Macaca fascicularis: one gene and its partners. The protein of the gene in region 1 binds, or shares a complex with, the protein of each later gene. Links are inferred from orthologs where the notes say so. Each region holds a gene or a part of one and is shown in the gene's direction. Other genes may lie near its edges. The genes, in order: CUL1, CCNF and CAND2.

Evidence for each region.
Region 2: CUL1 (region 1) and CCNF share a complex: the UniProt entries of both Homo sapiens proteins name them as parts of the SCF(CCNF) complex. The link is inferred for Macaca fascicularis from reciprocal best matches to the Homo sapiens genes CUL1 and CCNF.
Region 3: the proteins of CUL1 (region 1) and CAND2 are in contact, whole or in part, in a cryo-EM structure (PDB 8VVY), measured with the Homo sapiens proteins. The link is inferred for Macaca fascicularis from reciprocal best matches to the Homo sapiens genes CUL1 and CAND2. Residues at the interface, in NP_001357589.1 of Homo sapiens: Val31, Thr33, Arg34, Gln35, Met37, Lys39, Tyr42, Met111, Asp112, Trp123, Arg127, Phe128, Val132, Asn181, Leu184, Glu188, Gly193, Glu194, Thr195, Asn197, Thr198, Arg199, Ser202, Gln206, Val209, Glu210, Gly212, Leu213, Asn214, Lys221; in NP_001155971.1 of Homo sapiens: Asp21, Phe22, Phe24, Met25, Asn61, Gly62, Glu63, Gln65, Asn66, Leu67, Glu100, Gln101, Asp104, Asp156, Asp160, Leu189, Ala190, Lys193, Arg194, Glu276, Gln280, Asp343, Asp344, Trp349, Lys350, Arg353, Glu389, Ser492, Ser493, Thr494.

Annotation. Positions count from the first base shown.
Region 1 is NC_088377.1:190,410,818-190,414,465, forward strand, and holds part of CUL1 (cullin-1), read left to right. Parts: intron 1-875; coding exon 876-1,043; intron 1,044-3,230; coding exon 3,231-3,281; intron 3,282-3,480; coding exon 3,481-3,571; intron 3,572-3,648. UniProt on the Homo sapiens protein: Core component of multiple cullin-RING-based SCF (SKP1-CUL1-F-box protein) E3 ubiquitin-protein ligase complexes, which mediate the ubiquitination of proteins involved in cell cycle progression, signal transduction and transcription.
Region 2 is NC_088394.1:3,216,474-3,220,121, forward strand, and holds part of CCNF (cyclin-F), read left to right. Parts: intron 1-115; coding exon 116-280; intron 281-3,648. UniProt on the Homo sapiens protein: Substrate recognition component of a SCF (SKP1-CUL1-F-box protein) E3 ubiquitin-protein ligase complex which mediates the ubiquitination and subsequent proteasomal degradation of target proteins.
Region 3 is NC_088376.1:151,116,386-151,120,033, forward strand, and holds part of CAND2 (cullin-associated NEDD8-dissociated protein 2), read left to right. Parts: coding exon 1-1,068; intron 1,069-3,274; coding exon 3,275-3,370; intron 3,371-3,648.

The DNA of each region.
Region 1 (3,648 bases):
GTGACTCGAGTTGTAGAAATCTGGATAAAAATAATTTTGGTAAATGCACATTTTCTTTACGAGGGCTTGTTAAAGAGGAAGTATTGTTATACTATCGTACTCACATTATTTTTACAGATTACCACAAAAAAGTGTTTTGATGGTTTAAGAAGGAAGAAGATACATTTAAAAATTGAATAGTATTAGCCTCGTTGTCTGAATTGCTGAGTAGGACATGTTGATTTGATTTCTTTTTTGCGGGGGAGGGGGGGCGGCAGAGTCTTGCTCTGTTGCCCAGGCTAGAGTGCAGTGGTAGGATCTTGGCTCACTGCAGCCTCCGTCTCCTGGGTTCAAGCGAGTTCCCTGCCTCAGCCTCCCGAATAGCTGGGACTACAGGCATGCACCATCACGGCCAGCTAACTTTTGTATTTTTAGTAGAGACAGAGTTTCACCATGTTGGCCAGGCTGGTCTTGAACTCCTGACCTCAAGTGATCTGCCCACCTTGGCCTCCCAAAGTGCTAGGATTACAGGTGTGAGCCACTGTACCTGGCCAATTTCTTTTTTAAACAAAATATTAAAAATACAGATGATTTTGAGGTAAATTTCTTAATAAAAAGGAATTACCTGCATATCAAATGTTCAGGGTACTTTTTTTGAGTGTTTGTGGATATTTAATACCATGAAAAATGTTCCTGTTTAATTTGAGATGAAAGAATTGTTTTTACTATATTCTTGTGAGTTTATTAGCATGTTTTTGTATACAGAATAATTTAAAGAAGCCATCTAAAATCACATGTATCAATGTATTTTAATACAGTAGATGTTACTCACTTTTATTTTTAATTTATAATGTGACAAATTAGTCATCTTAAAGCTTTAGTTAACTTGTTTTTAGGATGGAGAAGATTTGATGGATGAGAGTGTACTGAAATTCTACACTCAACAATGGGAAGATTATCGATTTTCAAGCAAAGTACTGAATGGAATTTGTGCCTACCTCAATAGACATTGGGTTCGCCGTGAATGTGACGAAGGACGAAAAGGAATATATGAAATCTATTCAGTAAGAGTTTTGTTTTAAATGTGTTTTTTTAAAATGATAAATTGTCTTTTAGTAAGAGAATCTAGGCAAATATTAAGCTTTTTTCAGAGTAGTAAACTAATTTTCATTGTTTTATCAATAAATGTCCCTTAAATATTTTTTAGCAAGAAAGTAGAGGAATGGGTAAATTGGAGTTCTAAAATACAATTTGTCCATTTCTGCATTTGCTTTTTAAAAATTTCTTCTTTAATTACCTGACCCTACCATCACAATTGGCATGGAACTGCCTGAGTTTTCTCACTGAAAGTCCTGAGTCGTGGCAGTCCCAGGCAAATCAGGTGCCATACCTGAGGGCGAGCCCTGAGGATTAGCCCTCCCATGCTTTATAGTCTGGGAAACCCTGCTTCAGGGAGAGGACCCTGAATTAATTACTAAATCACTCTCATTAATATATGTTGCTTCAGTCAGCAAAAGGGGTTTTTTTGTCCATTGGCTTTCAAAGTATGGTCCCATATTTGTCTGTTTTCATAACTTCTGATAAACTGCGTGAGACTGGGTAATTTATAAAGAAAAGTTTAATGGGCTCAACAGTTCCACGTGGCTGGGAAGGCCTCATAATCATGGCAGAAGGCACATCTTACATGGTGGCAGGCAAGACAGAATGAGAGCCAAGCGAAAGCAGAAACCCTTATAAAACCATCATATCTCGTGAGACTTATTCACTACCATGAGAACAGTGTGGGGGAACCACCCCCATGATTCAGCTCTCTCCCACTGAGTGCCTCCCGCAACATGTGGGAATTATGGGAGCTATAGTTCAAGGTGAGATTTGGCTGGGGGCATAGCCAAACCGTATCACGTCCCCAAACCTGCTCTGTCAGCATCACCTGGGGACTTGTTAGAAATGCACATTCTTAGGCCTCATCCTAGACTTAAGGAGAAACTCTGGAGATGGGGCCCAGCAATGTTTTACCAAGCTCTCCAGACAATTCTGATGCATGCTCCAGTTTGAGGACCAGTGTTCTAGAGCAATTAAGGGAGGACTCAGAAGCTCTCCAGACAATTCTGATGCATGCTCCAGTTTGAGAACCAGTGTTCTAGAGCAATTAAGGGAGGACTCAGAACAGTCTGTTCGTGATCAACACAGGCAATGCCCTTTAAAACTAGTTTTGTTAAAATGTCAGATTCTACATAAAGAAGTTAATCACCATATCCAAGAATGTTGCTATAATAGCAATACTTTGTAGCTTCACTTTTGACAAATTTAAAAGAAAAACATAATGCTGGTTGCAGTGGCTCATGCTTGTAATCCTAGCACGTTGGGAGACCGAGACAGGAGACCAGCCTGGGCAGCATAATGAGACGTACAAAAAAATGTATCCAGGCATGGTGAGGCACCTATAGTCCCAGCCACACATGAGGCTGAGGTAGGAGGATCGCTTGAGCCCAGGAGGTGGAGGGTGCAGTTAGCCATGATCGTACCACTGGACAGAGTGAGATCCTGTCTAAAGAAAAAAAAGAAAAGAAAGAAAAGCATAATGTATCCCGGATGCATGACTTGTTTTTATTGTTTGTGTAACTCCAGTTTCTATACCAAAATTGTTAATTGGTTCATAATGATACTTTGCTATGTAGTTAGTCTGGTTCTAACAAAACTTTCTAGGTTTAGTTGTTTGATTTGGGGTTTTTGTGCTTCCCCTTTAACATTTTGTTTATTTTTTTAACTGACAAAAATGTGTACACCATGCCTTTTTGAAATATGTGTGTATTGTGGAATAGCTAATGGGATTTTTTTTCTTTTTCACATATAAATGCTTTCTTGAGACTCCAAAGTTGTTAGTATAGGAATCAGGATGATCTTGGTTCATTTGCTTTTGGAAACCTGCTTGGCCTAAATGTGTACCCTACAGTCACATCACAGACTCCTAAAAATAATTACGGTTTTTAAACTTTTCCTATACTGTTTTCAACAACAGTTAAAGAAAATATAAATAAAGAAGTTGAGCTGACAAATGTCTGTGCTTGGATACCTCTTGAAGTTGTTGACTCTAGAGAGTGGCTTTCTGATTTCGTCATGATAGCAGATTTTGACCAACTTGTAATCTAGAAATTTTGATGAAGTAATTTGAGATTTAGATTATTTCCTACGACTTCAATCTTGGAAAAACATAGTAAAAGTATAGATATTTTGTACTTTTTTTTCTCCAGCTTGCATTGGTGACTTGGAGAGACTGTCTGTTCAGGCCACTGAATAAACAGGTACCTACTGGTGTAAGCGTGTGCGTGTGCGTGTTCCTTTTAAAATCCCTTCACAGTTTCGTTGCTTAGCCTTTGTCTGCTCACTCCTTTGGATTATCCCATCTTACATTGTTTAATGGCTGTGAATGTTTAAGGGATATGTAGTAATATCTATCATATTCTATAACCTGTGTAATATTTTTCTACATCCTTTCTAAAGGTAACAAATGCTGTTTTAAAGCTGATTGAAAAGGAAAGGAATGGTGAAACCATCAATACAAGATTGATTAGTGGAGTTGTACAGTCTTACGGTAAATAATTTCCCTTTAGTTTATTCAAAGTTTCCACATCAAATGGCAATTATGACAATGCTCTAACAGATTTCACT
Region 2 (3,648 bases), on another chromosome or scaffold:
ATGATTCCAGAGCTAGCCAGGTTATTTGGTCGGGCCCAACAGGTGGAGTTGAAATTGCAGACAGGGACGCATGGAGAATGCCTGCCCTAGTTCCCACGCGCTGCTCTTTCCGCAGGTACATTCTGATCGACTGGCTGGTGGAAGTTGCCACCATGAAGGACTTCACAAGCCTGTGTCTGCACCTGACCGTGGAGTGTGTGGACCGGTACCTGCGGAGGAGGCTGGTGCCGCGGTACAGGCTCCAGCTGCTGGGCATCGCCTGCATGGTCATCTGCACCCGGTGAGAAGCCCCCTCGGCCCAGCTGGCAGGGACGTCCTGGCCTGTCCTGGGTTCAGGGTCACCTGCCCTTCACGTGCTCCTCACTGGTTTGTTTTTTTTTTTGGAAACCAATTCTCGCTCTGTCACCCAGGCTGGAGTGCACTGGTGCGATCTCGGCTCGCCGTAACCTCCACCTCCCAGGTTCAAGCGATTCTTCTGCCTCAGCCTCCAGAGTAGCTGGGACTGCAGGCGTGCACCACCATGCCCGCCTAATTTTTTTGTATTTTTAGTAGAGATAGGGTTTCACCATGTTGGTCAGGCTGGTCTCAAACTCTTGATTTCAAATTATCTACCCGCCTCGGCCTCCCAAAGTGCTGGGATTACAGGCATGAGCCACTGCACCTGGCCCTTACTGGTTCTTGACTCATGAGCCGTGAGTGTCCCACCTGGTCAGACGTGGAGTGCCATACTGAGGGCCTCTGCAGGCAGGGGTGATGGAACAGCCTTCAGCGTGTGGGGGCCACTGTGTGGGGTGCCTGCATCCAGGCAATTTGTCCTGGTGTGCAGTCTCAGGACCCAGAGTGTGGCCTCACTCTGGCAGGCACAGGCTGAACCGCCCTGTCCCCTGGCTCCTGAGGGCGGCAGGATGACTGACTGGGGAGGGTGGCAGTCGGCTGCCCTTCTCTGAAGTCAGGTTCTAAAGTCTGTTGCCAGAGTTTCCTACACTATTGGAGTTAGAGGGTTTTTCGTCCCCCACTGGTGCCCTGCAGAGCCCACTCCAACCACATGGGTGTCTCTCAGCAGCAGGGTGCGTCCTTACACGGCAGTCTGTCCCTTTCACATCAGACCACTGCTTTCCTTTAACTAATGCAGGATCCCCTAGTTCCGCCTTTGGGAATAACGTGGAAATGATTCTCACAATACGTTTTGCATTTCCTAAACCAGCTGTCCCCAGCATGGTCTACATTTCCCAAGGAAGTGCTTTCCAGACCAACTCCTCTGTAGAGCCTGGTGGGTGAGGATAGGCTTGGCTGCACACAGCATATGTGTAAGCTACAGAGACTTGTTTCTCTCTTGCACAGGTAACCCAGAGGCAGAGGGTCCGGGCTCAGGTCATTGGGATGTTTTTTGTTTCACGAGGAAGCAGAGGAACCCCATCTCCCATGTTAATCTCTGCCACCAGCTAGGGTGCTGCCCTTGTCCCTGTGACACCTGTACCTGCCACATTTACCTTTGCACTGAGCTTAGTCTTGTGGCCACATCTCACCAGATGGGAACTGGGAGGTGCAGTCTCTTTGGGCCTGCGTGTGCCGGCTCAATGCAGTGTCATTCCCACGGAAGGAGGGAGCAACCCCTGCCACAAGCATCCAGAGCTGTCTTCAGATGTGCTCTTGGGCCTGAATCCAGCATCCCAGGTCTTCCTACCAGAGACAGCTGAGGAGGTTGGGTGGCCGCCTCCCTGGATCTGACCACATATCCATCACCGCAACCTACGACCAAGCTCCTGGGCCACAAACCGGCTGGCAGTGAGAGAATAACCACTAAAAACGTTTCAGGGAGCTGAGTCCAATTTCTTCCCCAACCACAAGACCTGATTGCGGTGGTCCATATAATTATCATCACAGCTCCCTCAAATCAATTCTGCCTTATCTTTTTTTTTTCAAGCTGGGGGACCAGGCACGGTGGCTCACACCTGTAATCCCAGCACTTTGGGAGGCCAGTGTGGGCAGATCATGAGGTCAGGAGTTCAAGACCAGCCTGGCCAACATGGTGAAACCCCGTCTCTACTAAAGATACAAAAAATTGGCCGGGCGCGGTGGCTCAAGCCTGTAATCCCAGCACTTTGGGAGGCCGAGACGGGCGGATCACGAGGTCAGGAGATCGAGACCATCCTGGCTAACATGGTGAAACCCCGTCTCTATTAAGAAATACAAAAAACTGGCCGGGCGCGGTGGCTCAAGCCTGTAATCCCAGCACTTTGGGAGGCCGAGACGGGCGGATCACGAGGTCGGGAGATCAAGACCATCCTGGCTAACACGGTGAAACCCCGTCTCTACTAAAAAAAATACAAAAAACTAGCCGGGCGAGGTGGCGGGCGCCTGTAGTCCCAGCTACTCGGGAGGCTGAGGCAGGAGAATGGCGTGAACCCGGGAGGCGGAGCTTGCAGTGAGCTAAGATCCGGCCACTGCACTCCAGCCTGGGCGACAGAGCGAGACTCCGTCTCAAAAAAAAAAAAAAAAAGATACAAAAAATTAGCTGGGCGTGGTGGTGGGCGCCTGTAATCCTAGCTACTCAGGAGGCTGAGGCAGGAGAATCACTTGAACCCGGGAGGCAGAGGTTGCAGTGAACCAAGATCGCACCATTGCACTCCAGCCTGGGCAATGGGGCAAGACTCTGTCTCTAAATAAATAAATAAATAAATAAGCAAGCTGGACGTGGTGGTGGGCGCCTGTAGTCCCATCTACTTGGGAGGCTGAGACATGAAAATCGCTTGAACCCGGGAGGCGTAGGTTGCAGTGAGCCGAGATCACGCCACTGCACTAATCCAGCCTGGGTGACAGAGGGAAACTCTGTCTCAAAAAAAAAAAGGTTTTAAAGGCTGAGCTGCCCGCCACCTCTGCTCTCAGAAGTGCCCTGCCCCAACCAGCCACCTCACACCCTACGCTGGGCTCCCTGTTGGCTACTGACATCTCATCTTTTTGGCGTCTGCAGTCCCTGCGCTGGCAGGTGTAGTCCCCGTGCCTCTTGTCCTCTTGGTCAAGTGAATGACACATGCAACCTGCAGAATCCCCAGGACGGAGCAGCCAAGAGACTTGGCCTCAGTCCAACGGGAAGGTGCTTTGCAGGGGCCACTGGAGCAGCGTGTTCCCTGATAGTTGGCGCTGGTAGACAGCAGAGAACAGGGTGACCCCTGCCTGGGGACAGTCAGGATTCCAGTCAGGATTCCTGTGGCCACACAGTACCGGGCACAGATTTTCCAACAACCCTTGGGCCCTTTGCCTCCAATTCCTAGATCTGGTGGCTTACCCACCTTCTGAGTCTAAAACATTTCCACCCCACTGATAGAGCTGTCACGTGACGGGCAAATCTCTGTCTTTGGTGTCTTTTAGCAAACTGAATGCTGGTGGCACTTGGGCCTTTTGCAGACATTTGTGAGTCTGCCTAACAGCCCTGCTGCTTTCTGTCTGCCTTGTGGCTCTCATCCTTCTTTCCAGCACTTTCTGACCTCCCCCCTATTGTTACGATGATGATTATTTTTTGAGACAGGGTCTTGCTCTGTCACGCAGGTTGGAATGCAGTGGTATAATCATAGCTCACTGCATCCTCAACTTCCTGGGCTTAAGCAATCCTCCCACCTCAGCCTCCCAAGTAACTGAGACTATAGGCAC
Region 3 (3,648 bases), on another chromosome or scaffold:
CCCGGCTGCCTGCCGTCAAGGCGCTTACGCTGGTGGCTGTGTCCCCGCTGCAGCTTGATCTACAGCCCATCCTGGCCGAGGCACTGCCCATTCTGGCCTCATTCCTGCGGAAGAATCAGCGGGCTTTGCGACTGGCCACACTGGCAGCCCTGGATGCCCTGGCCCAGAGCCAGGGCCTCAGCCTCCCACCGTCTGCCGTGCAGGCTGTGCTGGCTGAGCTGCCTGCCCTGGTCAACGAGAGTGACATGCACGTGGCCCAGCTGGCTGTGGACTTCCTTGCCACAGTGACCCAGGCCCAGCCAGCCTCTTTGGTAGAGGTCAGTGGCCCTGTGCTCTCAGAGCTGCTGCGGCTGCTGCGTTCGCCTCTGTTGCCAGCCGGGGTTCTGGCAGCCGCTGAAGGCTTCCTGCAGGCCCTGGTGGGGACCCGTCCCCCGTGTGTGGACTATGCTAAACTCATCAGCCTGCTCACTGCTCCTGTTTATGAGCAGGCTGTGGATGGTGGGCCTGGCCTGCACAAGCAGGTGTTCCACTCATTGGCCCGGTGTGTGGCAGCCCTCTCAGCTGCCTGTCCCCAAGAGGCGGCAAGCACAGCCAACCGTCTGGTCTGCGATGCCAGGTCGCCCCACTCCAGCATGGGGGTCAAAGTCCTGGCATTCCTGTCGCTGGCTGAGGTGGGTCAGGTGGCTGGGCCAGGCCCCCAGCGGGAGCTGAAGGCAGTGCTCCTGGAAGCCTTGGGGTCACCCAGTGAGGATGTGAGGGCTGCGGCCTCGTATGCACTGGGCCGTGTGGGTGCTGGCAGCCTGCCCGACTTCCTGCCCTTCCTGCTGGAGCAGATCGAGGCTGAGCCCCGACGACAGTACCTGCTGCTGCACTCACTTAGGGAGGCCCTGGGGGCCGCCCAGCCTGACAGCCTGAAGCCCTACGCTGAGGACGTCTGGGCCCTGCTGTTCCGGCGCTGCGAGGGCGCTGAGGAGGGCACCCGGGGGGTGGTGGCTGAGTGCATTGGGAAGCTGGTCCTTGTGAACCCTTCGTTCCTTCTGCCCCGCTTCCGGAAGCAGCTTGCTGCAGGTAGGCACACAGGTGTGGGCAAGGCAACCCAGCGCGGAGGTGGGCAGTTTGTCACTGAGCATCCAAGCAGCTGGGGCAGAGTGAGCTATTTCAAGTCGTTGGGTACAAGAATCATGGTATCTATGCGACAGAGGCAAGGAAGCTACAGAGGAACACACAGTGATACCTGAGACTTAAAGGCTCCCTTCTATGGGACTGTGGGATAGAAGGGACAGAGTCCTTGATAGGTCCCTACAACAAATACACTTAAAAATCTCATGATGTAGGCTAGGCATGGTGGCACATGTCTGTAATCCCAGCACTTTGGGAGGCTAAAGTGGGTGGATCACTTGAGCCTAGGAGTTTGAGACCAGCCTGGGTAACATGATGAGACCCCGCCTCTACAAAAAAAAAAAAAAAAAACTCATGATGCCAACTTCATAATCCTCGATGTGGACAGTAGCTTAGTGCTCCACACAGAGGTCAACAAAAACAGTTTTCTGAGTAGCATAGACTGCAACCTGCAGAGGGTCAGCTCTTTTCAGCTAGCCTGAGCCATGAGCAGATGTCAGTATGGACTGGAACAGGCTGACATGCCCCTGAGGCTTGGGGAGGGCTGGGCAAGAACCAGGAGGGGCAGGCGTTTTGGTTTGTCATGTTTTGGCACACCAGGTATCTTAGCTTCAGGAGGTGGAAGGCAGGCAGGTGGGGTCGTGGGGCTCCTAGGAAAGGGAGAGTCCCCAGAATGAAAGGCCAGTGGGCTTCAAGCTGGCCAGCTGGCCCCTTATGGAACCAGTGGGTGCTCTGGTTGACAGAACGCAGGTACAGTGTTTGGTACACTGTGTGGTACCTACAGTAATTAATACTGAGTAAGTTGAGAGCTGCTGCTGTTACTAGGTATGTTAGTGATTTCAGTTAAGGCCTTCTTGGGTTGCTGGGTTCATAAGAAGCAGTTGTCTGGCCTCATGACTAGATGGAAGAACATTGTCGAGGACACTGTCTGTTACATCACACAAAGAACCTTGACAGACGAGAGTCTTAAGATGCAGAGGAGCCCTGCTTTGCCTAAACACCTATTTGTTTCTGTCCCACGTATTCTGTTGAACCAGCCACCTGGTCACATTTCCTTTTTACCACCAACTGCTGGGAAGCTTAGAGCCAGATGAGTGGCCTGCTTCTAGTAGGTTCCTGGAACTTCCTAACTGATGCTCTCTGTACGTCTTCCTTCTAGTCTCCTTCTCACCTCTCTGCCTTCAGTCGTCCTTGGCCTTGTTCTTGTTTTCAGTTCACTTAATCTAACTCTCTTGTGCCTGTCTTCATCAGCCACCCTAAATCTTCCTGGGAGCCAGTCAGGCTGGCAAGAGAAAGAGGTAAAAGCTAAAAGTCTGAGTTCAGTAACTCTTCCATTCATTCATGCCTTAGCACCAATTGGTAAACTTTTCCTCGAGGCTGAACGTAAAGCCTGTGTGGTGGAAGCACCTTAGCCCACTCGCTGCAGTGTGCTGGGGGTTGGGTGGGGGGCAAGCGGGGCAAGCCACTGAGGAGAGATTCAGGCAGGTGGAGCATCCACCCATTTGTTTCTTTCATTAAGGGAATGCCCTCCCCCTCTTTATTCGGCTTCTCTACTCAGAAAGCAAGCAGCAGAGCACAAGTAAGCGAGCTCTCCGCGACCGAGCCTGGAGATGATCCGAGTTCTGTTAGGCCCCCCTGACCACCAGCCAGAATGCAGGCCCAGGAGGAAGGGCCCAGCCAGGAATTCTGGATCTGCTGTGCGGCCTTAGACACGAACTTATCCTCTCTGAGTCTCTTTTCTCATGTGTCAAAGAGATGATTTTTATTGGTGATTTTAATACTATTTTATCATTATTAATTAATAGGATCATTGTTAGGACTAATTGAGATAACATGTCTGAAAAATCCCAAGGCCTGAGGGAAGGTCTTTGTCAGAGCAGTTCCTGTCTTGGTTATCGGTTCCCTGTTTGCAACCTGTGGTGTGGTTACCTAAGCACTGGCAGTCCTACTGTTTCAGCTACAGCATGAAGGATTGAGGGGAGAGTCAAGGCTGCCAAGGGAAATGGTAGAATCCACTTTCCCAGAGATGGGGAGGGGGTACAGTTCTGTCTTCCAGGGAAGCAAGGGGAGGAGCCTCTGCACCTTCTGACCTGTAAGCATCCAGGTTTGGCCCCTGCCCCTTACTAACTCACCTCCACCTCCTCTTGTTCTGCAGGTCGGCCACACACCCGGAGCACTGTCATCACAGCGGTCAAGTTCCTCATCTCGGACCAGCCCCATCCCATTGACCCCCTCCTGAAGAGCTTCATCGGTGAGCACCTCCCTCCTGCCTCCCCTACCTTGTTCAGTGCCCCCACCCAGTCCTTAAGCTTGGGCTGATATTTCCTACCTGATAGCTAAGGGCAGTGGGAGACCTGGGAGGCATGCCCATGATGGGCAGCAGGGCCTGGCCCTCCAGTTAAAAGGCCTGGGTTCACATCCCTGCCTCCCTACTGCCACTAAATCATGGGTGGGCCTGGCATGTCCATCACACCTCAAAGCCTTGCTTTCCTCATCTGTCAAATGAACGTGAGAAACTCTTACTATCTG